Anolis sagrei: one gene and its partners. The protein of the gene in region 4 interacts with the protein of the main gene of each other region in a pairwise test. Links are inferred from orthologs where the notes say so. Each region holds a gene or a part of one and is shown on either strand. Other genes may lie near its edges.

Evidence for each region.
Region 1: the proteins of HOMEZ (region 4) and LNX1 interact in binary tests that used the Homo sapiens proteins (3 or more experiments, as listed by UniProt). The link is inferred for Anolis sagrei from reciprocal best matches to the Homo sapiens genes HOMEZ and LNX1.
Region 2: the proteins of HOMEZ (region 4) and MRPL11 interact in binary tests that used the Homo sapiens proteins (3 or more experiments, as listed by UniProt). The two-hybrid records come from large-scale screens. The link is inferred for Anolis sagrei from reciprocal best matches to the Homo sapiens genes HOMEZ and MRPL11.
Region 3: the proteins of HOMEZ (region 4) and RPL9 interact in binary tests that used the Homo sapiens proteins (3 or more experiments, as listed by UniProt). The two-hybrid records come from large-scale screens. The link is inferred for Anolis sagrei from reciprocal best matches to the Homo sapiens genes HOMEZ and RPL9.

The regions. Positions count from the first base shown.
Region 1 is NC_090025.1:74,812,782-74,820,467, reverse strand, and holds the start of LNX1 (E3 ubiquitin-protein ligase LNX), read right to left. Parts: upstream 3,332-7,686; 5' UTR 3,323-3,331; coding exon 2,913-3,322; intron 1-2,912.
Region 2 is NC_090032.1:17,365,308-17,373,419, reverse strand, and holds the start of MRPL11 (large ribosomal subunit protein uL11m), read left to right. Parts: upstream 1-5,037; 5' UTR 5,038-5,120; intron 5,121-7,108; 5' UTR 7,109-7,139; coding exon 7,140-7,262; intron 7,263-8,112.
Region 3 is NC_090025.1:80,543,134-80,550,632, reverse strand, and holds the start of RPL9 (large ribosomal subunit protein uL6), read right to left. Parts: upstream 3,198-7,499; 5' UTR 3,123-3,197; intron 1,139-3,122; 5' UTR 1,132-1,138; coding exon 1,086-1,131; intron 996-1,085; coding exon 880-995; intron 1-879. Other genes in the region: LIAS (lipoyl synthase, mitochondrial), read left to right, coding at 3,299-3,379, 7,065-7,237.
Region 4 is NC_090026.1:9,111,951-9,120,225, reverse strand, and holds the start of HOMEZ (homeobox and leucine zipper protein Homez), read right to left. Parts: upstream 3,111-8,275; 5' UTR 2,941-3,110; intron 2,755-2,940; exon of another isoform or gene 2,571-2,754; intron 57-2,570; exon of another isoform or gene 1-56. Other genes in the region: twisted gastrulation protein homolog 1-B-like, read right to left, coding at 6,794-7,014, 7,102-7,317. UniProt on the Homo sapiens protein: May function as a transcriptional regulator.

The DNA of each region.
Region 1 (7,686 bases), on a different chromosome or scaffold from region 4:
GGAGAAATGCCTCCAGAACATGGCCATATAGCCCGAAAAAACCCACAAGAACTTAGTGATTCCAGCCATGAAAGCCTTCGACAATATATGGGAAGTTAGGTGAAAATTTTTGTTGATTTCTCCTGGGTACATGACCCAGGGCCCGTCCAGACCGGACCTTTATTGTGATAACTTCCACAATAAAGGAGGAGCTGTCCAGACAATGTTCTGGACAGTCCCAAATTAATTCGCTATAAACCAGAAAAATCCCAGCTTGTAGCAAATTAATTTGATAGTTGATTTATTTGATGCCTTCTTGGAAGGTGTGGGATAAATCCACTATTTCCGGCATCTGGACTGCAGAATACTGCAGCTCAGACCGTATTCCCACAGTTTACCGGGCTAAATAAGGCCAATAACTGTGGGAATACCCATCCCCTCCCCTGAAGCCCCCAGATCCCTTAGAAAAGTAATAAAACTTACCTGGCCTCCATTACAAGCCTCGGCAGGCTCGTCGAGCAGGACGAGGAAGGGAGGAAAATTGCTCCCCTCCAGCTCTCCTGGCACATCATTTCTACGCGACGGGAGAGTCCACCGGAGCTTGTAATGGAGTCTGGGTAAGTTTTTATTACTTTTCTAAGGGGTCTGGAGGCTTCAGGGGAGGGGGGTAGGGCCTCCCTCCAGATGTTCTCTGGGATGGGTGTGGACAGGTCCGTGTTTTTAAAGTGGATTCTCCTGGGATAAAGGCCTGTCTGGATCTGGTCTCAGCTACCCGACACTATGAATGTAATACTTAACCAATAGTCTTCTTGAAGGAATTTTTTTGCTAATAGTCTTTTTGAGAAATTTTAGCAATTTTCTTCTTGCTTAGAAGGCTTAAAAATAGATCCTGTTCTGTGAATTTTTCAAAATTCTACTATCAGATTTTCTCAGCACTTGAGAAACACATTTTTCATAATTTTTGCATTATTTTTGTACATTAGTTCCATGAATACTTGTCAAAAAAAGCCAGCCATGCAGAATGTTTGCTGTGTGATCAATGCAGATGCCAATAAATGGATGTTGATAATTTACTAGGCTGTTAAAGTTGGTCTGAGCCAGATCAGTGTTGGAACATATAGTTCTGCCTAAATTATCAAAACTTTTCTGATGTTCCCAATGATTGGATTTTTCAAATGGCAAGACCGCATGGAGAAAAGTGTTGAAACAGCATGCCCATCTCTGAAATTAAAATTGTCTAAAGCAATTTTAGGCTATAGTACCAAATCCAAAAGTCAAACAGAAAGTCTACTTTAAGTGGTTGCTACTGAATATGATTGCTTTATTTTATTTATTTCCTGATGTCCAAACACTCCAAAGTAGATTAGAAGTTAAAATAAAAACAGTAGAATAATATACAAGAAAGAACTCTCTTCCCAACTCCTAAAATGGCATGTTATAGCAGGAAAGAACAGAATATTAGCTGTGATCAGCACAACTGGGTTATAGGAAAGTGTCACCTAACAAGTCCCATATCCTAGGGTGAAAACAGAGTTATTCAAACAACCTCTTGACTGCCACATTGCAAAGAAAGAACTGTTAAAATTTACAAGTGGCTCGCAAAGTGGTTGGATGAAAAACCTTGGGTAAGAAAAGAAAAGGTGAAGAGCATGGAGACCAGTCTGTAGGTTGTCTGGGGTCTGCTCTCTAAACTCTAAACATTAAAAGGATTTGGGGCTTATTGAAATTGGGTAAGAGGCAGAAAATTGTTGTAGCTGTCAAACCAGTTCCACTATGTTACATGAACTTAAGCAATGTTTCTTAAGTATGAGCGTATTAAGCCCTAGGCAACAAATTAGCACAGCAAAATTAGCACTTGAGCCATTAGAAATCCCTTCAAAGTGCTTCATAAACTTAGCCTGAGATCTGTTCAATCAACTAGATACAGGTTGGGTATCCCTTATAGAATTCCCAAATTCAAAACATTTCAAAATCCAAAATTATCCATGTGGGTGGCTGAAATAGTGGAAGTCTCACCTCCTGGTGCTGCAATGTACACTAACTTTGTCACATGCACAACATTATTAAAATATAGTATATGAAAACATTTCCAAACTCTATGAGTTGTGTCTCACCTCCAATATATTTCATTATGTATATGCAAGCATTGCAAAATCTGAGGGGGGGGGGTGGGGGGCAGAAATTCAGCACACTTCTGGTTCCGAGTGTTTAGGATATGGGATGCTCAATGTGGAAGTAAGCAAACACAATTTCACAGCTGTTTTTTATTCAGCTGTTTGTAAGGGTGTTCCATAGCATAATTTTGAGTAGTAGGGGAAAATGTATAACTTTCCAGCTCTTCTTGGGCTCAAATTGCCACCAACACTAGTCAGTATTTCCAGTTATGAGGGAACCCAATGCACCCTTCCACACAGCCATATAACTCAGAATATCAGGGCAGAAAATCCCACAATATCTGCTTCGCGCTGGGTTATCTGAGTCCACACTGCTGTATATTCCAGTTCAAAGCAGATATTAATAATAATAATAATAATAATAATAACAATAATAACTTTATTTATATATCGCTCTATCTCCACAGGGGGACTCAGGGCGGTTTCCATAGGTGGGATTTTATTCAGCTGTTTGGAAGGGGTCTAGTGGTAAGTTGATCTAGATCACGGCTATAATGCCTTTGCTGTTCCAGATGTTTTGGACTTCAATTGTCAGAAGCCTGCAACACCATCTCCAATGACCAAGGACTGTGAGTGAGAAACAGAGACGCTAGGTCCACCATCTACTGAGAATGCATGAAATACAACAGACAACTTATTTACACTACAGCAGAAAAATGAAAATACTTGAAAGCATCATTCGCTGAAAAAGTAGAGGATCTTTTACCAGCACTGAACAAATTCTCAACTTTTGTGGAAGTGATATATAAAACGACTTACCCATTTTGGAAATGTTGTTCAAGGTTTGAGCGTTGCACAATCTCTGAGCAGAAATCTGTGAAAGGACAGCTAACCAAGAGTTTATCCAAGAGTTTATTCACTAGTAAGCTGGATTTTCTGCAAGTCTGTAGTATCAGAGTTTTACGGTCCATAGGGCAGAAGTCTTGTTCCACTAAGAAATCTGTAAGGCAAACTGTGCAGAAGGTATGCCCGCAAGGTGTGTCCAGTGGTTCAAGCAAAGGTTGCAAACAAATGTGGCAAATGAGATCATCGTCCACATCTTCAGTGTAGGTATACATGTGGTTCTCTTCTGGTTGATGTGGCTGGCCACAGACCACACATAAGGAAACAGCGCTTTCTTCTGCTTCTCCTAATGGATCCTTTTGATTCATAACTGGAGAGTGTTGCATGACACAAAGGTCAAGGAAAAGATTTCAATTCAAATTTCAGTTTCAGTCCAAAATATTATCTGTTGTCTCAGTAGTTCTTCAGATCTGTAGGGAAGCATGATGACAAATCAAATGAAATTGTTTCGAAGCAACTGCATTATGAAGATTGATTATGACATACAATGCTCAATTAAACTTTCGTATGCGAGTCAATAGTCCATGACACTTTGGAAATTGAACAAGAACTCAAGATATACAGACACAAATTACAATATCAATTAAATGGATCAGCAACAGAAGATAAAAAGAATGAACAATTTAACCTATCTCTCCTAATGCTAACCAAATTCTCTCTGGTCAATTGTTTTCCAAATCCAGGTGCAACCACATACAAATGTTGTTTCTTTTTGAAGGCACCAAGAACTTGTCTCTCAGCAGATTATATAGTGTGCTACCGATTATGTAGAGAAATGAAGATGCTCAGAGGCTAGTCGATGCATGTTTTCAAGTTATTTCCAACATATAGTGACCCTTAAAACAATATCATTGGGTTTTTCCATCAAGGTCTGTTTGGGAGAGGGGATTACCTTTGTTTTCCTCTGAGGCTGGGAGAGTGTGATTTGCACAAGGTCACCTAGTAGGGCTACAAAGTGGAATTCACAACATGCGAGTGTGGAGAAGAGCAAACTACAGACCATCTGCTGCGATGTAACCTGAGTCCTGCTACATGCACCATGGAAGACCTTCTTGCAGCAACACCAGAGGCACTCCAAGTGGCCAGCTACTGGTCAAAGGGCATATAATCAACTACCAAGCTTACAAACTTTGTGTTTTGTTTGTTTGTGTTTTTTTGTTAAAAAATGCAATACAACTGTTTGGCTTGTTTCTGACACGATAAATAAATAACCTAGTAGGTTTTCATATCTGAGCAGGGATTTCAATATGATCTCCAGGCTCATAGTTCAACACTCAAAACACCACATGACATTGACTTTCTCTCCTCAACTGCTAAGGGTAAAGGTAAAGGTTTTCCCCTGACATTAAGTCCAGCCATGTCTGATTCTGGGGTGTGGTGCTCATCTCCATTTCTAAGCCGAAGAGCCGGCGTTGTCCATAGACACCTCCAAGGTCATGTGGCTGGCATGACTGCATGAAGCACCGTTACCTTCCCGCCGAAGCGGTACCTATTGATCTACTCACATTTGCATGTTTTCGAACTGCTAGGTTGGCAGAAGCTAGGGCTGACAGTGGAAGCTCACGTTGCTCCCTGGAATCGAACTTGCGACCTTTTGGTCAACAAGCTCAGCAGCTCAGTGCTTTAACCCACTGCGCCACCGGGGGGCCCTTATCCTCAACTGCTACCCGCCCATAAATAACCCACATCCCCAAAATTACAAATTTATCAACAAAATTGAAAATAAAGACCTACTCATGGATAAAGTAGGATAAAGACCTACTTTCACTTCTGACCCATTTGTCCAATTCAAAGGTTAACGAGAGAAGCTGAACTATATGAAAGAACAGATTAAAATGATCAAGGGTCTGGAGAACAAGCCCTATGAGGAACGATTTAAAGAGCTGGGCATGTTTAGCCTGAAGAGGAGAAGGCTGAGTGGACACATAGCCATGCATAAATATGTGAGAGGAAGTCATAGGAAGGAGGGAGCAAACTTGTTTTCTGCTGCCCTGGAGATTAGGACATGGAACAATGGCTTCAAACTACAAGAAAGGAGATTCCATCTGAACATGAGGAAGAACTTCCTGACTGTGAGAGCCGTTCAGCAGTGGAACTCTCTGCCCCAGAATGTAGTGGAGGCTCCTTCTTTGGAAGCTTTTAAACAGAGACTGGATGGTCATCAGTCGGGGGTGCTTTGAATGCAATTTTCCTGCTTTTTGGCAGCGGGTTGGACTGAATGGCCTATGAGGTCTCCTCCAACTCTATGATTCTATGATTCTATACTCTGGTTGGCTACCAGTAGAACTGGTATTGTAGAACTGTCAATATACTATGCTGTGAAAACTCTCTTTCTTTAGCTTCAAAAGATCATACTGCCAAAATACGTAAGATTAGTATATTATTGTTATTGTTAGCACTCATTTAATACTCACAACAATCCTGCAAGGTAAATTAGAATGAAAAGAAGTTATGCAGCAAGCTTTATAGCTAAATTGGAACGAAAGCATGGTCTCCATTTAGGTGTTGCACCAAACTGGTTTCATGTTTTATCGTACAAGACTGATTTGAAATGAATTCTACAAAAGGTTGGTTTTTTTGTTTTTATCCAATTTTGCAATTATGGCAATTTGAAGAAAAAATTAAAAGAAGAGAAAATAAAGGTTTTTTCCAAAGGAAAGGTCTGTTTTGTAATAGCAACGAGACGGGGTAGAGATGAAGAATCATACTCACTGATGCCATATGGCTGCCATCAAATTGGAACAGAAGCAGAAGGAACCTATCATACTGAAATAAAGAATGGTATGGCAATGGAATGAATAGCCATTAACTGTTACTATCTATGAAAAGGAGTCCTATTAAAAGGAGTAATGAGGGAAGCAAATGACCTCTTCACAGGGGGCTAAATTCAGTGGTATGCACCAATTTAGTCCAGGTACCCATGGAGCCCACCGGCTCGCATCAGACAACACTGTGCTGGCTCTATGGGTGAAGAAGGGCAGAGCTGGTGCATTTCACTGCCGTGGCAACATGGGAGACTTTAATGGAGAGAAGCTGCACACACCACGCTTCTCCCATGGGATCAACTGCCGGGCAATGAAGGGTATGGGGTGGCCACTTCTCCACCCCTTCTCCATCCCTCCCCCCCCCCCCCCCGTGAAACACAGAGATGTGGGGCATGTTCAACGGCCGTGTGACAAGGTCAAAAGAGGCAGCAACTATTGACAATAGACATTATTATCCTGCTACAATTGTGGTTGGCCAGCCTCATGTGATAAGTTCCAATGTTGACATGAAATAAGAATGATTTTTAAGGCCTAGAACCCATTCACACTATACAATTATAGCACTTGTATACCACTTCAACTGCCATGGTGCCATCCCTTGCAATCCTAGGTTTTGTATTTTAATGAGGCACTGGGGAATTCTGGCTGAGAATTCTAGATGACCCTTCATACATTTCCAGTCCTAGGATCCCATTACATGGAAGTACTTAAGCAGGGGGACAGCAGGGGAATCTGTCGGTCAATGGGGCAAATTTGTTGGGCAGTGAGGGAAATTGACATTAATTGCCCTGCATTGCTTGCTTCCCTATCACATGGGGAAAACCATTGCTGCCCGGCTTCCCTGTGTTGTCCCCAGCTTAGGTAAAGAGAACATAAGTAGCCACCCATGTTCTCAGGGCTTCATCCAATGATACTGCTAGGATGAAACCCACTGGATATAGCCCTGCGTCATGTGATGGGTTCCATTGGGCTCCATCCTAGAAGCATTGTAGGATGGAGCAAAAGACTCATGCGATGAGGTCCCATGTGATGGAACCATGGCAGTCAAAGTGGAATGAGCCTTCTTGAAATTATTTATTTATTTAAAACATTTAAATTTCGTCCCTCTCACCCCAAAGAGGACTCAGGTCAGAGCACAACATATATATGGCAAATATTCAGTGGTGGAACTTAAAATAAACTATAAATATACATAAACACTCAAATCAATTATCTTCACTTTAAAATCAATTGTTTTAAACCATCTCAGATCAGCCATACCGGATCCGGTCAGTAGGGTAAAATTTCCTATTGTTGCCTTATTGCACTGTCCCAAAGGTAATTCCGCCTGTGGAATTCACTCCCCAGGGAAATTAGGTCATCGGCATCCCTCCTCAACTTTAGAAAGAAGGTAAAAAAGTGGATGTGGGATCAGGCCTTCGGGTAATTAGGCGGAAATGACAAATGACAATTTTGACAATGGCTTGGAAATGGATTATGGATAAGTTTAATGGAATACTCAATCACAGCATACGGCTAGATAATGGCCACCAGACTGTTAATAGTTCGGTAAACTATAAGTATATTGTTTTAATGTTTTTATGCTTTTAACTGTTGTAATTATTGGTGTTTTGTATTTTATTATGCGGCATCGAATTGTTGCCAATTGGAAGCCACCCTGAGTCCCCCCAAGGGTTGAGAAGGGCAGGGTAAAAGTGTTCAAAGTAATAAATAAATAAATTTATATCCTAGAATCATAGAATCAAAGAGTTGAAAGAGACCTCATGGGCCATCCAGTCCAACCCCCTGGCAAGAAGTATTTAAATCACCCCCTGACAGATGGCCATCCAGCCTCTCTTTAAAAGCTTCCAAAGAAGGAGCCTCCACCACACTCCAGGGCAGAGAGTTCCACTGCTGAACGGCTCTCACAGTCAGGAAGTTTGCTC
Region 2 (8,112 bases), on a different chromosome or scaffold from region 4:
GCCTCCACCACACTCCAGGGCAGAGAGTTCCATGGCTGAACGGCTCTCACAGTCAGGAAGCTCTTCCTCATTTTCAGGTTGAATCTCCTTTCCTGTAGTTTGAAGCCATTGTTCTATGTTCTAGTCTCCAGGGCTGCAGAAAACAAGCTTGCTCCCTCCTGTCACAACTCAGGATAGATTCATCTTGCTCAGAACAACACCACACACCAAGGCTGTAGTTTTTGTAGTTTATTGAAGAGAAAGCAAAATCAAAAACATAGAAATAAGGTTGCAAAAGCCAAAATAGAGTCTTAAATGCAAAGACAGAGTTTCCAAGGTCCAAAGGCAAATAACATCAAGTATAATCCACAAGTATTGGTCAAACAAGAATCCATGGCAGCATGACAAAGTCCCCAGAAACCAAGATCAAAACCAAAGTCACAAAGAACCAAAAGCCGAGACAATTCCAAAGAAGTTAACAGGGTGTAAGCAAAGTTGCACTGACAAAGGGTTGACTGCAATCAGATCGTCAAATAAGCTTTCCTAGCATGAAAGCATTACGTTGACCATTTGTTAGCAAGCCGAGAACTTCGGCGTACTCTTAATTGCAAACAGTCCTCCCTAACTAAATCCCCATCACCTTCAAGGCCGAATAACTCATTATCCTGGGACTGGCCAGCCTGGGAATCCACAGGCACTCAAATCATGACCATCATCTAAAACAGTGGTTCTCAACCTTTCTAATGCCGTGACCCCTTAATACAGTGCCTTATGTTGTGGTGACCCCCAACCATAACATTATTTTCATTGCTACTTCACAACTATAATTTTGCTCCTGTTATGAATCATCTTGTAAATATCCAATATGCAGGATGTATTTTCATTCATTTGGCACAAATACTTGATACGCCCAAATTTGAATACTGGTGGGGTTGAGGGGAGGATTGACTTTGTCATTTGGGAGTTGTAGTTGCTGGGATTTATAGTTCACCTACAATCAAAGAGCATTCTGAACCCCACCAACGATGGAATTGGACCAAATTTAGCACACAGGGCTCCCATGACCAACACAAAATACTGGAAGGGTTTGGTGTTGGAGTTTTAGTTCACCTACAACCAGAGATCACTGTGGACTCAAACAATGATGGATCTGGACCAAACTCTACACGAATACTCAATATGCCCAGATGTGAACACTGGTGGAGTTTGGGGGAAATAGAATCTTGACATTTGGGAGTTGTAGTTGCTGGGATTTATAGTTCACCTACAATCACAGCATTCTGAACCCCACCAACAATAGAATTGGGCCAAACTTCCCACACCGAACCCCCATGTGCAATGTGGCAGGGGATGTAAGGCTGTAATGTTCGTTTGTGGGATTAACAGAACTCAAAAACCACTGGACGAATTGACACCAATTTTGGACACAATAAACCTATCAGGCCAACGAGTGACCATCACTCAGAAAAACACAGACAAAACTTAAAAATCCAAAAAATAAAAAGTACATTACAACGCATGCACAAAACCACATATATACACAAATATATACACACAAAACACATACACAGACTGGGCCACAGCAATGCATGGCAGGGGGTGGCTAGTCTGTAATAACTGAAGGTACATGAGGAAATTGGTGTTGTTATGGCAGTTTCTGCTAGTAGTTTCTAGCAGTTAACCAGTACATTCCAGGTGGACGTAGCCAGCTTTATTGCTACTACACACACAAGACAGAAAATAACTACTAATTTCCCCATGTACCTTCAGTTCCTTTTATAGTGCGTATAGCAGGGTTGGGAGGACAATAGCTTGGTCTGCCTACAGATGTCCCGATCCTCAAACACTCTGCTTCATTCGGAAAAATGCTGCACTTGCAGAGCTCAGGCGGTGTTGTATTTCAGTGTCAATGTTGACTTTTCTGGAGAGGTGGCTGCCAAGGAAGTGGAAATGGTGCACATTTTCAAATGTTACGCCGTTAAGCTGTATTTCTGGCATTGGAGAGGGATTGCCTGGCGACTGCTGGAAGAGCACTTTGGTTTTCTCAATGTTCAATGACAGGCCAAGCTTCTCGTATGCTTCTGCAAAGGTATTTAGAGTGGCTTGTTGGTCTTCTGAATGTGCACATACGACATTGTCATCAGCATATTGAAATTCTATAACATGTTATTTGTAACCTTGGTTTTGGCTTTCAGTCTGCTGAGGTAAATTGCTTGCCATCTGTTCGATAGATGATTTCCACTCCAGTGGGAAGCTTCCCATCAACAAGATGAAGTATCATAGCAATGAAGATGGAGAATAATGTTGGGGCAATAACATCCCTGTTTGACACCTGATTCCACCTTGGCTGGTGACTGCTGGAAGAGCACTTTGGTTTTCTCGATGTGCAATGACAGATCTGGACCATTGAACTGGATTCACTTACGCCCAGAGACGCTGTGACCACCATCAATGACAGATCTGGACCAAACTTGGTACACAAAACCCCTCATGACCCAAGCTGGTTCATCAGGTGCTCTGCTATGGCTGACTTCTCTGGTTGAAGTAGTCTGCAGTGCCTTTCATGTTCCTTGATGCGTGTTTGGGCAATGCTGTGTTTGGTGGTCCCTATGTAGACTTGTCCACAGCTGCATGGAACACGGTAGACTCCTGCAGAGGTGAGAGGATCCCTCTTGTCCTTTGCTGCCTGGACACAGCATATTATTTGAGAACACCATGTCAGACTGCACAGAGAAGCCATTGAAGTCCACAAACGTGGACAATTTCAACAGAAAGGAGGACACCATGAAAATGAACAAAATCTGGCTACCAGTATTAAAAAACTCTAAAATTACAACAGCAAAACAGCAGAGAGGAAACAACCAGGCACATCTTAACACAGTTAAGAGATGCATTGGGTTGTTATTGCTGTGTCAATATTGTGTATTATGTTTTTGTGGTTTTAAATTGTATATTGTTGATTGTTGTACCTTTGTTGTAAACCGCGTTGAGTTGCCGTGAGGCTGAGAAACTGCGGTATACAAGTAAAGTAAATAAATAAATAAATATTGTGCGCCAGCTGCGCCCGTACCTTGGGAAGTCTGACTTGGCCACGGTAGTCCACGCTCTGGTTACATCCCGTTTAGACTACTGCAACGCTCTCTACGTGGGGTTGCCTTTGAAGACAGCTCGGAAGCTCCAACTAGTCCAACGCTCGGCAGCCATGATTTTAACAGGAGCGGAGCGCAGGGAGCATACAACCCCCCTGTTGCGCCAACTCCACTGGCTACCGATCTGCTACCGGGCTGAATTCAAAGTGCTGGCGTTGGCCTTTAAAGCCCTAAACGGTTCCGGCCCAAGCTACCTATCCGACCGCATCTCTGCCTATGAACCCACCAGGACTTTGAGATCTTCCGGGGAGACCCTGCTCTCGATCCCGCCTGCTTCTCAAGCTCGGCTGGCGGGGACAAGAGATAGGGCCTTCTCGGTGGTGGCTCCTCGGCTGTGGAACGCCCTTCCTACGGACATTAGACTAGCACCATCTCTAATGGTATTCCGCAAAAAGGTGAAGACCTGGATGTTTGAGCAGGCGTTTGAGTAATTTAGTGCAATCTGGTAATGGAACATAGGAATGGAACAATGGACGACGAACCTGGACTACGCTTGGATGATGAGAAGATTGGGTATGGTTGTTTTTTGTAATAATTGTGCATTGTAATTGCTTATTGGTAGTTTATGGACAATGTGTTAAGTCAATTGTTATATGTTGTATGGAACCACGGCTGTTTCTACTGTTTTTACTGTTTGTGAACCACTGTGAGTCGCCTTCGGGCTTGAGATACAGCGGTATATAAGCTAAATAAATAAACACCTCTCAACAGAACATTTCCCCAGGCTCAGCCAAGCCTTCAACTGCTAATGAAGGTGGTCGGCTGAAACATTCACACCTAGCTCCAGCAGAGAAGAGCTCTTTGCCCCACCCCAGCCATTCCACAGATATATAAACCCATTGTCCTAACTACCTCTGAGGTAGTTAGGACAATGTTAGGTAGTGTCCTCACTACCTCTGAGGATGCTTGCCATAGATCATAGAATCATAGAATCAAAGAGTCGGAAGAGACCTCATGGGCCATCCAGTCCAACCCCATTCTGCCAAGAAGCAGGAATGTTGCATTCAAATCACCCCTGGCAAATGGCCATCCAGCCTCTGCTTAAAAGCTTCCAAAGAAGGAGCCTCCACCACACTCCGGGGCAGAGAGTTCCACTGCTGAACGGCTCTCACAGTCAGGAAGTTCTTCCTAATGTTCAGGTGGAATCTCCTCTCTTGTAGTTTGAAGCCATTGTTCCATTGCGTCCCAGTCTCCAAGGAAGCAGAAAACAAGCTTGCTCCCTCCTCCTCCCTGTGGCTTCCTCTCACATATTTATACATGGCTATCATATCTCCTCTCAGCCTTCTCTTCTTCAGGCTAAACATGCCCAGTTCCCTAAGCCGCTCCTCATAGGGCTTGTTCTCCAGACCCTTGATCTGCTCCCTCCTCCCTGTGGCTTCCTCTCACATATTTATACATGGCTATCATATCTCCTCTCAGCCTTCTCTTCTTCAGGCTAAACATGCCCAGCTCTTTAAGCCGCTCCTCATAGGGCTTGTTCTCCAGACCCTTGATCATTTTAGTCGCCCTCCTCTGCACACATTCCAGCTTGTCAATATCAAGATGCAGGCGAAACCTCAGGAGAAATGCCTCTAGAGCAGTGGTTCTCAACCTGGGGTCCCCAGATGTTTTTGGCCTACAACTCCCAGAATTCCCAGCCAGTTTACCAGCTGTTAGGATTTCTGGGAGTTGAAGGCCAAAAACATCTGGGGACCCCAGGTTGAGAACCACTGCTCTAGAACATGGCCCTATAGCCCGAAAAAAACCTACAAGAACCTAGTGATTCCAGCCATGAAAGCCTTCGAAAATACATTGAACATCCCAATGGGGGTGAGTGGAAGGGCCTGCATTGCTCTCTCTTCCCTTTCTCTGAGTTCCCTGGTCGCTATGGCAACGGGCGCCATTTTGACTTCCTAGCGCGGCTCAAAAGCTTCCCGGCGTCCTTTGCGCCTTTGACCCCCGCTTCCGTAACCCAAGATGGCGGCATTCAGGAAGAAGGAGTAAATGCTTTCAGTGAGTAGAAAGTTAAAGCAACTTACTGGGGTTGAGGGAGGAAGAAGGGCCAGGGATAGGTCATCACAAGGAAATCAGGGGGATTATTATTATTATTATTATTATTATTATTATTATTATTATGTAATAATGTATCTATATCTATAGAAATAAAAGTGTAATGTTTGTGGGATTAAGAGAACTCAAAAACCACTGGATGAATTGACACCAAATTTGGACACAAGGCACCTCACAACCCAATGTATGTTCTTCACTCCAAAAAATGATTTTTGTCATTTTGGGAGTTGTAGTTGCTGGGATTTATAGTTCACCTACAATCAAAGTTCATTCTGAACTCCACCAACGATGGAATTGGGCCAAACTTGGCACACAGAACTCTCATGACCAACAGAAAATACTGGAAGGGTTTGGTGGGCATTGGCCTTGAGTTTGGGAGTTGAAGTTCACCTACATCCAGAGATCGCTCTGGACTCAAACAGTGAAGGATCTCGACCCAAACTTGGCATGAATATTCCATATGCCCAAATATGTACAGAGATGGGATTTGGGGGAAATAGATCTTGACATCTGGGAGGTGTAGTTACTGGGATTTATAGTTCACCTACAATCAAAGAGCATTCTGGACTACACCAATATGGAATTTATCCAAACTTGGCACACAGAACTCTGATGACCAACAGAAAATACTGGAAGGGTTTGGTGGGCATTGGCCTTGAGTTTGGGAGTTGTAGTTCACCTACGCCCAGAGATCACTGTGGACTCAAACAATGATGGATCTGGACCACATTTGGCATGAATACTCAATATGCCCAATTATGAATACTGCTGGAGTTTGGGGAAAATAGATCTTGACATTTGGGAGTTGTAGTTACTGGGATTTATAGTTCACCTACAATCAAAGAACATTCTGGACTCCACCAACAATGGAATTGAGCCAAACTTGGCTCACAGAACTCCCATGACCAACAGAAAATACTGGAAGGGTTTGGTGGGCATTGACCTTGAGTTTGGGAGTCTTAGTTCACCTACACCCAGACAGCACTGTGGACTCAAATCAAACTTGGCATGAACATTCCATATGCCCAAATATTTATTTATTTACTTATTTCCAGGCTTTAATGGTGCTTCTTTTTTGACTTGGGTAATGGTTGGAGTTTTTATGTAGATATCTATCTGTGTGTGTGGGTTTTCTGTAACCGGTGTGACCCAATTGTTGGAGGAAACAGACAAGGACATCTAATCACCTCTCGACAAAAGATTGCCCCAGGCACTGTCGGTCCATTATATGCTATCAAGGCGGTCAGTTGAAACATTCACACCGAGCTCCAGCAGACAAGAGTCCTTTGTCTCACCCTTGTCATTCCACAGATATATAAACCCTTTTTCCTAGTTCCAACAGACCTCACTACCTCTGAGGATGCTTGCCACAGATGCAGGCGAAACGTCAGGAGAGAATGCCTCTAGACCATGGCCATATAGCCCGAAAAAACCTACAACAACCCAGAGATTTCGGCCATGAAAGCCTTCGACAATACATTCAACATTTTCTTATGACTTTATTTTCCAGGTCACCAGACTGGGCCACAGCAACATATGTCAGGGCACTGCTAATAATAATAATAATAATAATAATAATAATAATAATAATGTTGTTGTTGTTCATTCGTTCAGTCATCTCCGACTCTTCGTGACCTCATGGACCAGCCCACGCCAGAGCTCCCTGTCAGCCGTCACCACCCCCAGCTCCTTCAAGGTCATAATAATACCCTTAATATAATAATAATAATAATAATAATAATAATAATAATAATCAACACTTCCCTTTTGTCTTTCTTTCCTCCTCATTCCGTGTCTTGTTTCTTTGTTTCCTCCTTTTCCTTTTGTTTATTTACCTCCTTTCTCCTAAACTGGGACGCTATCTCTTCCCAAGATTGCAACTTTCTAGGATCCAGTCTTCCCAAAGTCTTTTACTCTTCTTTCCAATCCAGGTACTGTATCCCTGCAGACTGAATCGAAGCCATGTCGAAGATCTCTCGTGCAGCCAAAACCGTACAAAAGGTGGACCCTGGAAATGTCATCCGGGCCATCATCCGAGCGGGACAGGCCGTTCCGGGACCGCCTTTGGGACCTGTCCTTGGCCAGGTATGTGTGGAAGACAGCAAATATGCAAACGCATAATCATCATCATTATTATTATTATTATTATCATCAAACTGTTATGGAGCCCCTGTGCTGGCAGGACTAAAGACAAACAGGTCGCAGGTTCGAATCCGGAGAGAGCATGGATGAGCTCCCTCTATCAGCTCCAGCTCCTCATGTGGGGACATCAGAGAAGCGTCCCACAAGGATGGTAACACATCAAAAACATCTGGGCAACAACCTTGCAGACGGCCAATTCTCTCACTCCGGAAGCGATGTGCAGTTTCTCAAGTCGCTCCTGACATAACAAAAAAAAAAATCAAACTGCTTGGCGCAGTGGGTTAAACTTGTTGACCGAAAGGTCACAGTTTTGAATTTGAGCAGCTGTGTGAGCTCCTGTTGTTAGTCCCAGCTTCTGCCAACCTAGCAGTTTGAAAACATGCAAATGTGCCTAGAGCAATAGGTACTGCTTTGGTGGTAAAGTAACAGTGCTCCATGTAGTCATGCCGGCCACATGACCTTGGAGATGTCTATGGACAGTATGTGGAAAAATGAATAGTGGCAGTTAAACAGCACTGTGTCATTGTTTTATTGTTTGCTTTATGTTTTATTATTTGCTTATGAGTTTTACTGTGTATTGTATGTTGTTGTTGTTGGCGGCCTTGGCCTTTGTAAGCCGCATCGAGTCCTTCGGGAGATTTTGCGGGTTATAAATAAAGTTAATAATAATAATAATAATAGCATATTCTGAGGATTATTTCTGCATTGGATTTATTAAAATATTCCCATCCAAACCCAAGTAATGAAAGTGGAGGCATTATTTTTCATTCAACCCTCGTACTTTCTAGTTTCA
Region 3 (7,499 bases), on a different chromosome or scaffold from region 4:
GAAGCATGTGGGGAATGCGGAAGTGCTTCATCAGCATTCCAGATGGACGATGAAAGCAACAGCTCCCCTGGTGACCAGAAAAAGTTAAATAGCCTCTGTGTATGTCTGTATATGTTGTATGTTAAAATTGGCATTGAATGTTTGCCATATATGTGTACACTGTAATCCGCCCTGAGTCCCCTGCGGGGTGAGAAGGGCGGAATATAAAAGCTGTAAATAAATAAATAAGTTCTGACATTCAGATATAACTTATACATGAGAGCTGCAGCCTGTTAAGTACAGTTAAAAATAAAATGTAATGACAACCTACATACATGACATTTTGACACTTGGTGATACAAGTCTGCATCAGAACAATTAAGGTTTTGAATTACAGCAACTGGCTAACAGGAAGTGTATTTCTGTTACACTCAATACAAACTGTCTTGACAGTTTGTCACACAAGAAACTGGTCCTTGTATTTCTAAATTACACAAAGAAATAGATACATTTCTTCCCTACAGCTCCTTCCAGACAGGTGCTCCAGATTCGTATTTGCAGTAAGGGAAAAAAAAAAACAGAAGAGGAGGAAAACCAGAAAGAGCAAAATTAATCACCTTCTTTTAAGTTTTGATTTTACACTCCAAACTGCTGCATCATTCGACCCTATTGCACAAGCATCCATCAAACCCAAAATAGCCTCACTTAATAAGCAAAACTAAAATGAAATCTGAACACTTTAAAATCAATGCACGTCTTTCCAGCAAAAACAGAAAAGCCACAATCGCGTGCCCCCCCCTTTTGGCAAGAAAGACATTTACCAATGACAGGATATATACATCCATCGAACAATTTATGAGAGACATGTATGTATTAACGTAAAATCTATCAAATGCTCACCTTCCTACGTTTCTTCCCCAAAAGAGAGAGCTCCACGTTGATATGATTGAAGTCCCGTCGGAGGGTTCCTCTGGGGCCCTTGACAATGACTGTTCGCCCCTTCAGGGCAATGTCAACTGCGAGAAGTAAAACACTGTATGACACTGAGGAACTCATGAAATATAAACAGTTTTATAAATTAAAAAAGCTCAAAGAAATGTACATACCTTTCTCAGGGATGTCAACAGTCTGGTTGCTGAGAATAGTCTTCATTTTGAACCTAAACAAAAGAGACACAACAAAGAGCCACATGTATAATAAAACCACATGGTGTTTTATAGTTTTCAGGTAGGAAGCTATGATAAAATCAAGCAGATTTTTTTTTTGCTCAAATTCATATGTTTTAAGTACAATATTGCTAAAACTATCTTGGCCCACATTTTCTTCACTGACATCAATCAGTAAACATTTGTACGTATATTGGTTTGAGTTATGATCATCTCCATTCAGTTTCAAAGGCAGGCCTCTGCAATGAGCAAAATAGGTGCTATCTATTCTGAATGGCACAACTTGGGGATCACAACCAGATACAGTGAAGACATCTGCCCTTGCACTTTGTTACTCTGCTGCTGAGTATGTATGCCCGATGTGGAACACATCTCACCACGCTTAAACAGTGGATGTGGCTCTTAATGAGACATGCCGCATTATTGTCTGTGCCCTACACCACTGGAGAAATTACAGTTTAGCTGGTATTGCACCACCTGACATCCGCCGAGGAGTAGCAAACAATAGTGAAAGGACCAAGGCAGTGACATCTCCAGCTCATCCCTTGTTTGGGTATCAGCCAGCATGCCAATGACTTAAATCAAGAAATAATTTTCTAAGATCTACAGAGACACTCGCTGGAACACCTCAGCAAGCGAGAGTCCAAAAGTGGCAGGCTGAAACCCAGAACCTCAATCAATAGTTGATACCAAATCAGAGGTGCTGAACAGACTGCACTCTGGCACCACAAGATGCAGAGCCAACCTTAGGAAATGCGGCCACAAAGTGGAATCCACAACATGCGAGTGTGGAGAAGAGCAAACGAATGACCACCTACTGCAATGCAACCTGAGCCCTGCCACATGTACAATGGAGGACCTTCTTGCAGCAACACCAGAGGCACTCCAAGTGGCCAGATATTGGTCAAAGGACATTTAATAGAATACCAAGCCTGCAAACTGTGTTTTATTTGCTTTTAATGCAATACAACTGTTTTGGTTCGCTCCTGACACGATAAATAAATTCTGAAAACCATTCATAGAATCAGAGTTGGAAGAGACCTCACGGGCCATCCAGCCCAACCCCCTGCCAAGAAGCAGGAATATTGCATTCAAAGCAGCCCTGACAGATGGCCATCCTGCCTCTGTTTAAAAACTTCCAAGGAAGGAGCCTACACCACACTCCGGGGCAGAGAGTTCCACTGCTGAACGGCTCTCACAGTCAGGAAGTTCTTCCTAATGTTCAGATGGAATCTCCTTGTAGTTTGAAGCCATTGTTCCGCGTCCTAGTCTCCAGGGAAGCAGAGAACAAGCATGCCCCTCCCCCCTGTGACTTCCTCTCACATATTTATACATGGCTATCATATCTCCTCTCAGCCTTCTCTTCTTCAGGCTAAACATGCCCAGCTCTTTAAGCCGCTCCTCATAGGGCTTGTTATCTAGACCCTTGATCATTTTAGTCACCCTCCTCTGGACACATTCCAGCTTGTCTCTCTTCAAATGTGGTGCCCAGAATTGGACACAATATTCCAGTTGTGGTCTAACCAAGGCAGGATAGAGGGGTAGCATGACTTCCTTAGATCTAGACACATTCCAACCATCATGGCACAGATAGGGCGTTATATTGTACAGATTGGTGAAATCACAACCTTTAAGCTTCACTAACATTATATGCGACTAATTTCCAGCTTCCATTTTTCCCCAGGCCCAACAACATCCTGCTAAGCAATATTGGGGAACTGTTTGGGCTCTTAAGTGGGCAAAACAGTCCACGCATGCGTAGACGCGCCTGTCTCCCCTCAACGAAAAGAGGCCTTGTTTCTGGCCCTCTTTCCTCCGGAGCCCAGCCGAATTAAAGACCAGAGCTGTTCCCGACACATTCAGTGACATTTGCCTTTGGTTGTCGCGGGGCGTCTACACCACTCAAGTGCCTCCGCTCTTGAGATGGAACCGGATTTAACCGGCCCTCCGACTCCCGAAAAGAGACGCGTCCCTTACCTTTCACTTCACAGAAAGGCGGAAAGGAAGAGCGTGCTGCGTCATCACGCTTTTATATGGCCACGCGACGTTCTCCTGGTGACGCTATTACGTCAGGGATGGTGGACTCGACCAATCAATCGCCACGCAGGACGAGCAGGCGATTGCAGAGCTCTGAGGGACGGAGAGAGGCCGGTATGGCGTTGCTCCAGCGAGGCCTCTCCAGCGGGGCTGGCTCTTTGTCGAAGTTGAAGAGGCTGGCGGGGCTGGAGAGGCCGGTGAGTCTCCGGGAGGGCGCCAGGGCCGCTTCAAGTCGAATGTGGGATATTGTGTTGTCATGTCACCTCACACAGGTGACCCTGTTTTGTTTGCGGCCTATCCTGACGTCACGACAGGGTCTCATTAGCAGGTGCTCAGAAAGTTTGGTTTTGCCCTTCCTCTGTGGCTGAGAGAGTTTGGAAGGGGAATGTTTTCTTTTGAAAACGGAGGCCCCATCTACACTGCAAATTTATTTATTTATCGTGTCAGGAGCAGACCAAACAGTTGCATTGCATTTTAAACAAACAAACAAAACACAAAGTAGTTGATTAAATGTCCTTTGTCCAGTATCTGGCCACTTCTGGTGTTGCTGCTTCTGGTGTTGCTGCAAGAAGGTCCTCCATTGTGCATGTGGCAAGGCTCAGGTTGCATTGCAGCAGGTGGTCAGTGGTTTGCTCTTCTCCACACTCGCATGTCGTGGATTCCACTTTGTAGCCCCATTTCTGAAGGTTGGCTCTGCATCTCGTGGTGCCAGATCGCAGTCTGTTCAGCGCCTTCCAAGTCACCCAGTTTTCTGTGTGCCCAGGAGGGAGTCTCTCATTTGGTATCAGCCATTGATTGAGGTTCTGGGTTTGAGCCTGCCACTTTTGGACTCTTGCTTGCTGAGGTATTCCAGCGAGTGACCTCATGGACCAGCTCACACCTGAGCTCCCTATCAGCTGTCACCACCCCCAGCTCCTTCAAGATCAAGCCAGTCACTTCAAGGATGCCATTCATCCATCTTGCCCTTGGTCTGCCCCTCTTCCTTTTTCCTTCCATTTTCCCCTTTCTTCTCATGATGTGGCCAAAATACTTTATCTTTGCCTCTACTATCCTTCCCTCCAATGAGCAGTCGGGCCTTATTTCCTGAAGTATGGACTGGTTGGATCTTCTCGCAGTTCAAAGCACTCTCAGAACTTTCTTCCAGCACCACAGTTCCAAAGCATCTATCTTCCTTTGCTCAGTGTTCCTTATGGTCCAGCTTTCACATCCGTAGGTTACTACGGGAAATACCATTGCTTTAACTATGCGGATCTTTGTTGCCAGTGTGATGTCTCTACTCTTCACTACTTTATCGAGATTGGTCATTGCTCTTCTGATTTCCTGACTGCAGTCTGCGTCTGCAGTAATCTTTGCACCTAGAAATACAAAGTCTGTTACTGCCTCCACATTTTCTCCCTCTATTTGACAGTTGTCAATCAGTCTTGTTGCCATAAGCTTGGTTTTTTTGATGTTTAACTGCAACCCAGCTTTTGCGCTTTCTTCTTTCACCTTGATTAGAAGGCTCCTCAGCTCCTCCTCGCTTTCAGCCATCAAAGTGGTATCATCTGCATATCTAAGGTTGTTAATGTTTCTTCCAGCAATTTTCACCCCAGTCTTGCATTCATCAAGCCCCACACATCACATGATGGGTTCTGCATACAAGTTGAATAGGTTGGGTGAGAGTGTAAAACCCTGCCGTATGCCTTTCCCAGTCTTGAACTATTCTGTTGTTCCATGGTCAGTTCTTACTGTTGCTACTTGGTCATTATACAGATTCATCAGGAGAGCCTCTACACTGATTTATATAACCCAGATCAATATAGTTCATCTGCATTCTAAAACTGCATTATAAGGCCAGTTAGATTGAACCTGAGTTTCTCCTGTAAGCACATATTTCACAAGTAAAGATCCAGCCAGAAGTCAATGGTCCAAAGTCAAACTTGAAGGTCCCTTCTACACTGCCATATAAAATCCAGATTATGTTCTTTGAACTGGATTACATGGCAATGTAATCCAGTTATATAATGGATCATATAATGTAGACTTTTTATGGAACAAGTTTATGTCATCAGTTGTGGACCCCTCCCCCCAGCACCAACTGCCGCTCTGGGCCAGAGTGAAGAGAGGGGGGGCCAGGGGACAGTTCCACCTTGTCTCCTGTACTATGCTAATATAATATTATGTATATACATATAATAGTTGTAATATTATAATGTAATACAACATAATACTACTAACAGTATGATATTATTATATATCTTATATTACATGTAATACTAATAATATTACAGTATAATGGTATACTACAATAGGGTAATATATAATACTGATATTGTATTATGCTAGTAATATAATATATTGTATGTATATATCTTATAAGCCATACTGAGTCCCCATCAGGGTGAGAAAGGTAACATGCAAATGCCATAAATAAATAAATAAATAAATAAATAAATAAAATTCAGTCCAAAGCAGATAATGTGGATTATCTGCTTTGATAATCTCAATTATATTATATTATTTATTTAAAATATTGATACCTCATCCTTCTTGACCTCTGCAGAGGGACTTAGAACAGCTTCCAAACAGGCCACAATTTGATGCCAAACATAATATAAAACACATAATAAATACATCCACAAAATTAAAATAATTCTAAATATGCATTTAAAACCCACTTGCCAGATTAGAATCACCAGAATTAAAATCGTCATCCAAAGTAGTCCGGTCCAAAAAAACTTGTCTTTCCCAGTAAACAAACTATTCTGTGAACACCTGATCTCATAACTAGGATTTAAGCTTCTTCTGGAAGGTCAGGAGGGAGGGGAAAGATCTAACCTCATTGAGGAAGCAGTTACACAGCCAAGGGGCCACCACGGAGAAGGCCTTGTCTCTTGTCCCCACTAAATGTGACTGCAGAGCAGAGCCTCCCCTTAAGATCCTAGACGGTTCATAGGGGAGATACGTCCGGACTGCATTGTAGTGCTCGCTGCTGCATTATAGATAAATTTAGAGCACGTAGCCATCATGTTGTTTTTGGACTGGAAGTAGTAAAATATATATTTTAGGCTCCATTAAAGGGCTGTGTTAAAAGATCCAAGCCTATATCCATTAGAAGGGAGATTAACACATTTAGAGGCACCATTGAGTGGACCAAATTGTTATTTTATAAATGTAAATTTTGCACCGATGAGTGTATATTCTCGTAATAAAATAAAATCAGCGATGTCCAAGACTTCCAGAGCTGGAATCACTAAGTTCAGACCTCACAACCTCCGAGGATGCCTGCCATAGATGCAGGCAAAACGTCAGGAGAGAATGCTTCTAGAACATGGCCATATAGCCCTAAAAACCTACAATAACCCAAAATTAGCTATGATGGCATCACAGTCAGGATCACATCAGTGACAGAAGTCATTAACCATAGGTTCTTAATTATTAACATCCAGAGGTTTTGAGAAATACTTATCACCAGTTCAAACAGCTGTATTGGAAACTACATGCATTGGTTTGTTAACTTTCCCACTTCCTTAAGCAGCTTTTCATATTACTAGGCAGCTCTAGAAACTGGAGAGAACTTGACAACGGACCTGTATTACAATTAGATAAGAATCTTCCTGGAAAGTGGGAATAATTGAAAATCCTGTCCTTCATCATTTGGACTATAAGATTACTTGCCATGATTATAGCTTTTTTGGGAGGAGGAGGAGTATGTGGTCCTCCAGAAACTATTGGGGTGCCGCTCCCATTAGCCCCAGCCAAAATAACCAATGAGGAATGATGGGGGTTGTAGTCCAGCAATAGCTGAAGGGTTGTACGATTTCTCCTCCTACTCAATATATGTCTATGGATATAGCTGATTTTATGTTTACTATTTGGAATAATGCCGCTACGTTTTTCTAGGTGCTTGGAAGCAATATACATAACCAATCTAGACTATCAAGCTCATTGCCAGAAGAACAGAAGGCATCTTTACAAACTGGACCGGATTTACAAGACTTTGTATCGGGGGAGCTTTCAGACAAAACTAAGTGGACAGAATATAAAGGCAAGTTAAAGCGTCAAAAAGGAGAAAGGTGAGTAATGTTAGAGTCGCCTAATCTAGGCTGAAAAATGCGGTATAGAAGTAAAGCAAATAAATAAATAATAATGCTTCCAGTTATGAATTACTTTATAACTATCTGCAATGTTATGCTGCTGGTAACAAGATCCAAAGTTTCCCTTTACCCGAATGAAATTTTGTATCTTTGTCACTTCCTTATTAAACTAGATTGCAGGCTTTTAAGAAAGCCTAGTGTTGATGTTGTTAGGAGGAATTTCTGAATTAAAAAAAATACT
Region 4 (8,275 bases):
CCTATCGCCCCCTCCCGACCAGAAAAAAGGTTCTTCCATTCGACTGCCTAGAACTCTCTGCTGAATGTCCTGGATGAGCTAACCCTAAAATCCATAAATGCGAGGGTTGAATGAAAAGTAATGCCTCCACCTTCTTTACTTGGGTTTGGATGGGAATATTTTAGGAAACCAAACGCAGAAATAATCCTTAGAATGTGCTCTTTAACTACCACTATTCACTTTTCCACATAATTGCCAGATAATTGGATACAAACAGGGATGTGTTATTGCCCCAACCTTATTTTCCATCTTCATCGCTATGACACTTCATCTAGTTGATGGGAAGCTTCCCACCAGAGTGGAAATGATCTGCGGACAGAAGGCAAGCTATTTAACCTCAGCAGACTCAAAGACAAAACCAAGGTTACAACATCTATTATAGAACTCCAATATGCTGATGACAACGTCATCTGTGCGCATTCAGAAGAAGACCTACAAGCCACTCTAAACACCTTCGCAGAAGCATATGAGAAGCTCAGCCTATCATTAAACATCGAGAAAACCAAATGCTCTTCGAGCAGTCACCAGCCAATCCCTCTTCAATGCCAGAAGTACAGCTTAATAGTTTAACATTAGAAAATGTTGACCATTTCTGCTACTTTGGCAACCACCTCTCCATAAAAGTCAACATTGACACTGAAATACAACACTGCCCTGAGCTCTGCAAGTGCAGCATTTTTCTGAATGAAGCAGTGTTTGAGGACCGGGACATCCATAGGGATACCAAGGTGCTTGTTTATAAAGCTATTGTCCTCCCCACCCTGCTATACTCCTGCGAGACGTGGACTCTCTGCAGATGTCACATGCAACTGCTGGAACGATTCCATCAGCGCTGCCTCAGGAAAATCCTGCAAATCTCTTGGGAAGACAGGCGGACAAATGTCAGTGTGCTGGAAGAAGCAAAGACCACCAGCCTTGAAGCGATGCTCCTCCGCCATCTACTTTGCTGGACCAGCCACGTTGTCCGAATGCCTGATCACAGACTCCCAAAGCAGTTACTCTACTCCTATGGCAGTCACACTGTACTTGCAAACGCTTGCTCCAAAAGCCAAGTTATGACTTTCCTCCAGAATGTTAAAATGGAGGGAGCTGATCTAATATCCCTAGGGAGGGCGTTCCATAGACAAGGGGCCAACACTGAGAAGGTCCTGTCTCTCATCCCCGCCAGTCGTGCTTGTGATGAGGGTGGGATCGAGAGCAGGGGCTCCCCAGACGATCTTAAAGCCCTGGAAGGTTCATAAAGGGAGATGCATTTGGACAGATAAGTTGGGCCAGAACTCTCTGAGTGATATGATGATCATCCTAAATCAATCTGTCAACCTTTTGCTTGTGAAACTCGGTGGTTGCTGTCAGAGGACGTCCAGCTTTTGTTTGTTGCACAAATCAGATTGTTCCCACCTCAACATCTTTAAACTTACTTGCCCAACGACACACAGTACTCACATCAACACAATCAACATAAACAGCTTGCATTCTCTGATGAATCTCCTTTGGGGTGACACCTTGTGCTGTGAAGAATTCACTGCCTCTGAGGATGGCTGGCATAGAGGTTCCAGAAGCATTCTCTCCTGAAGTTTCTCCCCCATCTATGGCAGGCATCCTCTGAGGTTGTGAGGTGTCTTGTCTTCTTCAAACAAAGAAGAGTTCTTTCTCCCACCCTGGACATTCCACAGATATATAAACTCCATTTTCCTACTTTCCAACAGACCTCACTACCTCTGAGGATGCTTGCCATAGATGTTCCAGAAGTATTCTCTCCTGAAGTTTCTCCCCCATCTATGGCAGGCATCCTCAGAAATTGTGAGGTCTGTTGGAAGCTAGGCAAGTGGGGTTTATATATCTGTGGAATGTCCAGGGTGGGAGAAAGAACTCTTGTCTGTTTGAAAAAGGCAAGGGATCTCACAACCTCTGAGGATGCCTGCCATAGATGCAGATGAAATGTCAGGAGAAAATGCTTCTGGAACATGACCATACTGCCCGGGAAACTCACCACAACCCAGAGATTCCGGCCACAAACGCCTCTGACAATACAAAATCCCACACTTCCTCCCATGCCATCCAACCTGCCTGCTGTCCCCCATGCTTCCAAGGAATTGCCCCAATTTCTCAGATCCTCCCTTTTAGCAAAAGATGAAAAGGAACAGGAAAACACATTAAGGATCACCATCAGAGCATCCTTTTCTTCCTGTTATATTGTCACAGGGCCCTTCCTCAAGCCCTATATCTCAGGGCCCTTCCACAAAGTCATATAACCCAGAATATCAAGGCAGGAAATCCCACAATATCTGCTTTGAACTGGGTTATTTGAGTCCACACTGCCATATATTTCAGTTCAAAGCATAAAATGTGGGATTTCATTCAGCTGGGTGGAAGGGCCCCCAGAGTCCGCACTCAGATAATGTGGGATTTCCTGCCTTGATATTCTGGGGGGCCTTCCACCCAGCTGAATAGGGCTGTGTGGAAGGACCCCCAGCAAAGACAGGACAGGTTTGGGAAGAGGAAGCAAATGGCTATTCTTTGGAGCCACTTACCTTCTCTTCCCCCAACTCGGAAAGAAAGATGGGAAAGAAGAGCATGCTGTCACTATGGAGAGATCAAAAGGCAAAGAAAGAAGAGAGCGGAGGGAAGAAGAAAGGATGTGGGGAGCAAGGCAGGAGAGGAAAGAAAAGTGGGAACTTGGAATGACAGAAGGAGACAATGACAGAAAGAGAAGAAGCAGACAAAAGGAAGGAAGGAAAGAAGGAAGGAAGGGCAGACAAAAGGAACAGGGAGGAAAAGAGGAGAGAATGGCAGCAAAAAGGGGGAGAGGGAGGCCAGAAAGGAAGGAGAGGCGAAGGGGGCTTCAAGGGCCTCATGAGGGGGAGAGGCCGGGGCCATGGAGGGGAAAGGGGGCTCACCCACCCGGGAGGGACCGGCGAGCATCACAGAGGACGGGCAGGGCGGCAGAGCCATCCAGGGGCCTGGCAGGGGCTGCAAGAGGCGGGGCGGTGGTCCACTCCGCTCTTGAAAGGCAGGAAGAAAGGCAAAATCCAGCTGCTTAGGTGAACCAACTATGTTTTGGAATAACAAAGCAACACAACAAAGGGGAGCCCGAGCTCAAACCACACCCCTTTACCTTCAACCCCAACCTCCCCACCCCCTCCTTGCCATGCAGAGGGCTGGCTTGCCAGACTTCACTCTGCACGTGCTCAGAGGCATGCTTTCCCTTCATTGTTGCTTCAACCGTTCTGGAACATTTAGGGCGGAAAGCTGCTCCTGACCAGGTGAAAGGCAACTGGGATTTTGTCTTTGATACCTCAGTTAATAAAGCCTGTTCAGGTCTTCTTGGCCTTCTACTTCTCTTTCTCATCCTCAGTGGTTCTCAATTTGGGGTCCCCAGATGTTTTTGGCCTACACCGGGATTGTGGCGCAGCTGGCTGAGTGTCAACTGCATTAAGATCACTTTGACCAAAAAGTCATGAGTTCGAAGCCAGCCCGGGTTGGAGTGGGTTTCCAACCAATTGTGTAGCCTGTTGTCGACTTTTGCAACCCGAAAGACAGTTGCGTCTGTCAAGTAGCAAAATTAGGTACCACCTTGTGTGGGGAGGCTAAATTAACTAATTTATGAGGCCATAAAAAAAGACTCCAGCAAAGCATTCCAGTGGGGAAGCATGCGGGGAATGCGGAAGTGCTTCATCAGCGTCGCAGATGGACGATGAAAGTGACAGCTCCCCTGGTGTCCAGAAAAAGTTAAATAGCCTCTGTCTATGTCTGTATATGTTTGTATGTCAAAAATTGGCATTGAATGTTTGCCATATATGTGTACACTGTAATCCGCCCTGAGTCCCCTGCGGGGTGAGAAGGGCAGAATATAAAAGCTGTAAAAAATAAATAAATAAATACAACTCATAGAAGTCCCATCCAGTTTACCAGCTGTTAGGATTTCTGGGAGTTGAAGGCCAAAAACATCTGGGGACCCCGGGTTGAGAACCACTGGCAGGTTTAGCCGCAGCTCCTTGGTAAGGCTGGAGAAACAGAGTTTAGCAAGGCTGGGAAAAGGGACTTGTAATTGTGTTGTCTTCGTGCTTCCAAAGCAGCATGCGTTTGAATGGGGAAACAACCCTACACTGGTTTGCTGTGAGTTTTCCAGGCTGTGTGGTCATGTTCCAGAAGCATTTTCTCCTGACTAGGCAAGTAGGGTTTATGTATTTGTGTAATGTCCAATGTGCTGTCGCATGCTGGGCCTGTGCATAAGACTGTAGACAGGACATAAATTCTGTGTGCCCAATGGGACTCCAGGGCTGCCTCAGATTAAAGGCCCTTGGATTTCCTTAAAACAGAGTCTTTAGATTGTTTAAAGGTTCAACAATGTTCTTTATTGATGAAAACAAACAGGTACTTTAAGGCTTTCTTAACAGTCTATTGGCTCTCTCTCAATCTTGTCCACAGGGAACAGGCACTATCTTCATAACTGTAACTAATGGGGAAATCCTTAACTTCTAACCTGGGCAGTCTGTCTTTGCCTCTATTGGCATGGAGCCCCTGCACCTGGTACCAACTGTTTCTGGCTTCCGCGAGTGACCCTTACCAAGCAGAGCTTTGTAGACTTCCAAGGGAAAAGGAGTTCAGGTTTCGGTGATGGCTGGCTGAAGTCCTTCATCTAAGTCATAAGTAAAGATGTTGAACAGGACTGGGCCCAGGACGGAACCCTGCGGCACTCCACTTGTCACTTCTTTCCAGGATGAAGAGGAAGCATTGGTGAGCACCCTCTTCAGAAAGACTTCACCCCACAGCCTGAGGAATAGAGCTCCCAAAATCTATTTCTCACCAGTTCAGCCCTCCTGCTACATATGGTGGCCTATCAAGGTTTCAAACATGCATTCTACTTGCTTACCTGAGATTAAAGATACAGCTGTTATCCAACACCTTAGGAAGCCCACATTCTGTGGTTAACCAGGTGCCAGAAGCTAGTCTCAGAAACCTTTGCCTATTGTATATTTTCAGGTAGACATGTAGTACTTCAAGAATACTATTTTCTCTCATCAATCCTTCCCCTCCAGCAGCTTTCGAAATCAGGTCCTTGAGATATTTTTGATTTTAGCGAATATGAGCAGTGCTCAGAAATATTAGGACTTGAAGTTCCAAACATCTGAAGGATAGCAGTTTGAGAACCAATACTTTAGGTTCTTGTGGGTTTTTTCGGGCTATAGGGCCATATTCTAGAGGCATTTCTCCTGACGTTTCGCCTGCATCTATGGCAAGCATCCTCAAAGGTAGTGAAGTCTGTTGGAAATAGGACAATGGGTTTATATATCTGTGGAATGGCTGGGGTGGGGCAAAGAGCTCTTCTCTGCTAGAGGTAGGTGTGAATGTTTCAGCTGACCATCTTCATTAGCATTTGAAGGCCTGCCTGAGCCTGGGAAAACCTTTTGTTGAGAGGTGTTAAGATGTGCCTGGTTGTTTCCTCTCTGCTGTTTTGCTGTTGTGATTTTAGAGTTTTTTAATACTGGTAGCCAGATTTTGTTCATTTTCATGGTCTCTTCCTTTCTGTTGAAATTGTCCACATGCTTGTGGATTTCAATGGCTTCTCTGTGTAGTCTGACATGGTGGTTGTTGGTGTGGTCCAGCATTTCTGTATTCTCAAATAATATGCTGTGTCCAGGCTGGTTCATCAGGTGCTCTGCTATGGCTGACTTCTCTGGTTGAAGTAGTCTGCAGTGCCTTTCATGTTCCTTGATTCGTGTTTGGGCAATGCTGCGTTTGGTGGTCCCTATGTAAACTTGTCCACAGCTGCATGGTACACGGTAGACTCCTGCAGAGGTGAGAGGATCCCTCTTGTACTTTGCTGAACGTAGCATTTGTTGGATTTTCTTGGTGTGTCTGTAAATAGTTTGTATGTTGTGTTTCCTCATCAGCTTCCCTATGCGGTCAGTGGTTCCCTTGATATATGGCAAGAACACTTTTCCTCTGGGTGGATCTTCATCTTTATTCTCGTGGCTTGTTCTTGGTCTTGCAGCTCTTCTGATGTCTGAAGTGGAGTCTCCATTGGCCTGGAGAGCCCAGTTTAGGTGGTTCAGTTCATCTTGGAGGAGGTGGGGTTCGCAGATTCTTTTTGCACGGTCTGCCAAGGCTTTAATGGTGCTTCTTTTTTGACTTGGGTGATGGTTGGAGTTTTTATGTAGGTATCTATCTGTATGTGTGGGTTTTCTGTAGACAGTGTGACCCAATTGTTGATCTGGTTTGCGGATGACTAGGACATCTAGAAAAGGCAGTCTTCCTTCATTTTCTTTTTCCATACTGAATTGGATGTTTGGGTGGATGCTGTTAAGATGGTCCAGGAACCTGTTGAGTTCTTCTTCTCCATGGCTCCAAATTTGGTACGATGAATGAAAATACATCCTGCCTATCAGATGTAACGGCGCTCCATGCAGTCATGCCGGCCACATGACCTTGGAGGTGTCTACGAACAACGCTGGCTCTTCGGCCTAGAAATGGAGATGAGCACCACCCCCCAGAGTTGGACACGACTGGACTTAATGTCAGGGGAAAACCTTTACCTTTATTAGATGTTTACATGATGATTCATAACAGCAGCAAAATTATAGTTATGAAGTAGCATCAAAAATAATGTTATGAAAAATGTATTGGACTGGTCTTGCTCACAACGCTCAGAATAGGAAGAAAGGGAAGGTGGGAGAGAGAGGTAGGCAGGTAAATAAGTTGGTTGAGGGCCCCACACATGTGTACATGTACATGTAAAGAGAAAAGCTGAGAGTTAATCCCGGCAGTTGGAACAAATGGCTTGGGCCCCGCCATAGCCCCGGCAGTCAGGCCCTACACACTGGCAGCAGGCATTGTGGAACCAGCGGTAGCGCCAGGCTCCCACTGATTGGCAAGCTGTCCGGCATCGGCTCATGGACAGGCACTCGTTGAAGAAAATGGACTGGCAAGGTGGTGTGGTGGCATTGAGGCCTTCAGCATCTGGGAGAACCAAGCCTGCAAGTGAGAAGAGGAAAGTTCATGGCTGTGTATCCTTCATTATTGCGACATCAATGCTTTCTCCTCTGGGCCAGGTACACTTACCTGTGTGTGGCCCCAGCAAGAGATGGTCTGTCTCTACGTGGTTCTGCCTCAGCTCCTCCTCAACTGGCAAAGTCAAGATGCTCCAGCCCATGGGAGACTCGTTGTCAGAGATGGCTGTGAGTGCCCGGAAAAGAGAGGGCACGGGAGACATCAGGTTGTGCATAGAGCTTCGCTGGGCCGGACGAGGGGCGGAGAGAGGACGTTCATCGCAGAGCCCTCGGGAGGAAAAAGTCAAGTCAGAATCCTTCCTTGGTAAGCTCTAGAATTCAAAGCCTGGCCCCCTTCCCATGCAAAAATACAGAATGGGGGACGCCTGGCTCGACAGCAGTACATGTGAAAAAGATCTTGGGGATCCTCGTGGACAGGAAGGTGAACACAGCCAACAATCTCATGTGGTTTCTAAAAAAACCAATGGGATTTTGGCCTGCATAAATAGGAGTATAATGTCTAGATCCAGGGAAATCATGCTACCCCTCTATTCAGCCTTGGTCAGACCACACCTGGAATCACACTGTGTCCAATTCTGGCCACTGCAATTGAAGGGTGATGTTGGCAAGCTGGAATGTGTCTGGAGGAGTGCAACTAAAATAATCAAGGGTCTGGAGAACAAGCCCCATGAGGAGCGGCTTAAAGAGCTGGGCATGTTTAGCCTTCAGAAGAGAAGACTGAGAGGAGACATGATGAGGGCCATGAATAAATATGTGAGTGGAAGTCACAGGGAGGAGGAAGCAAATTTGTTTTCTGCTGCCCTGGAGACTAGGATGTGGAACAATGGCTTCAAACTGCAGGAAAGGAGATTCCACCAGAACATTACGAAGAACTTCCTATGAGAGCTGTTCAGCAGTGGAACACTCTGCCTGGAGTGTGGTGGAGGCTCCTTCTTTGGAGGCTTTAAAGCAGAGGCTGGATGGCCATCTGTCAGGGGTGCTTTGAATGTGATTTTTCTGCTTCCTTGGCAGGGGGTTGGCCTTGATGGCCCATGAGGTCTTTTCCAACTCTAGGATTCTATGATCTTGAGTGAGGTGATGACATCTCTAAGCAAGAGACAATCTCATTCATTTTTTCCCAAAATCATCTAATTTGTAAACTGATGCTCAACATGTCATGCTCAGGTCACAACACCAGAAGCTACCCCTTTGAAAGTATAGGCGCTGGCCTACTGTGTCATCACAAG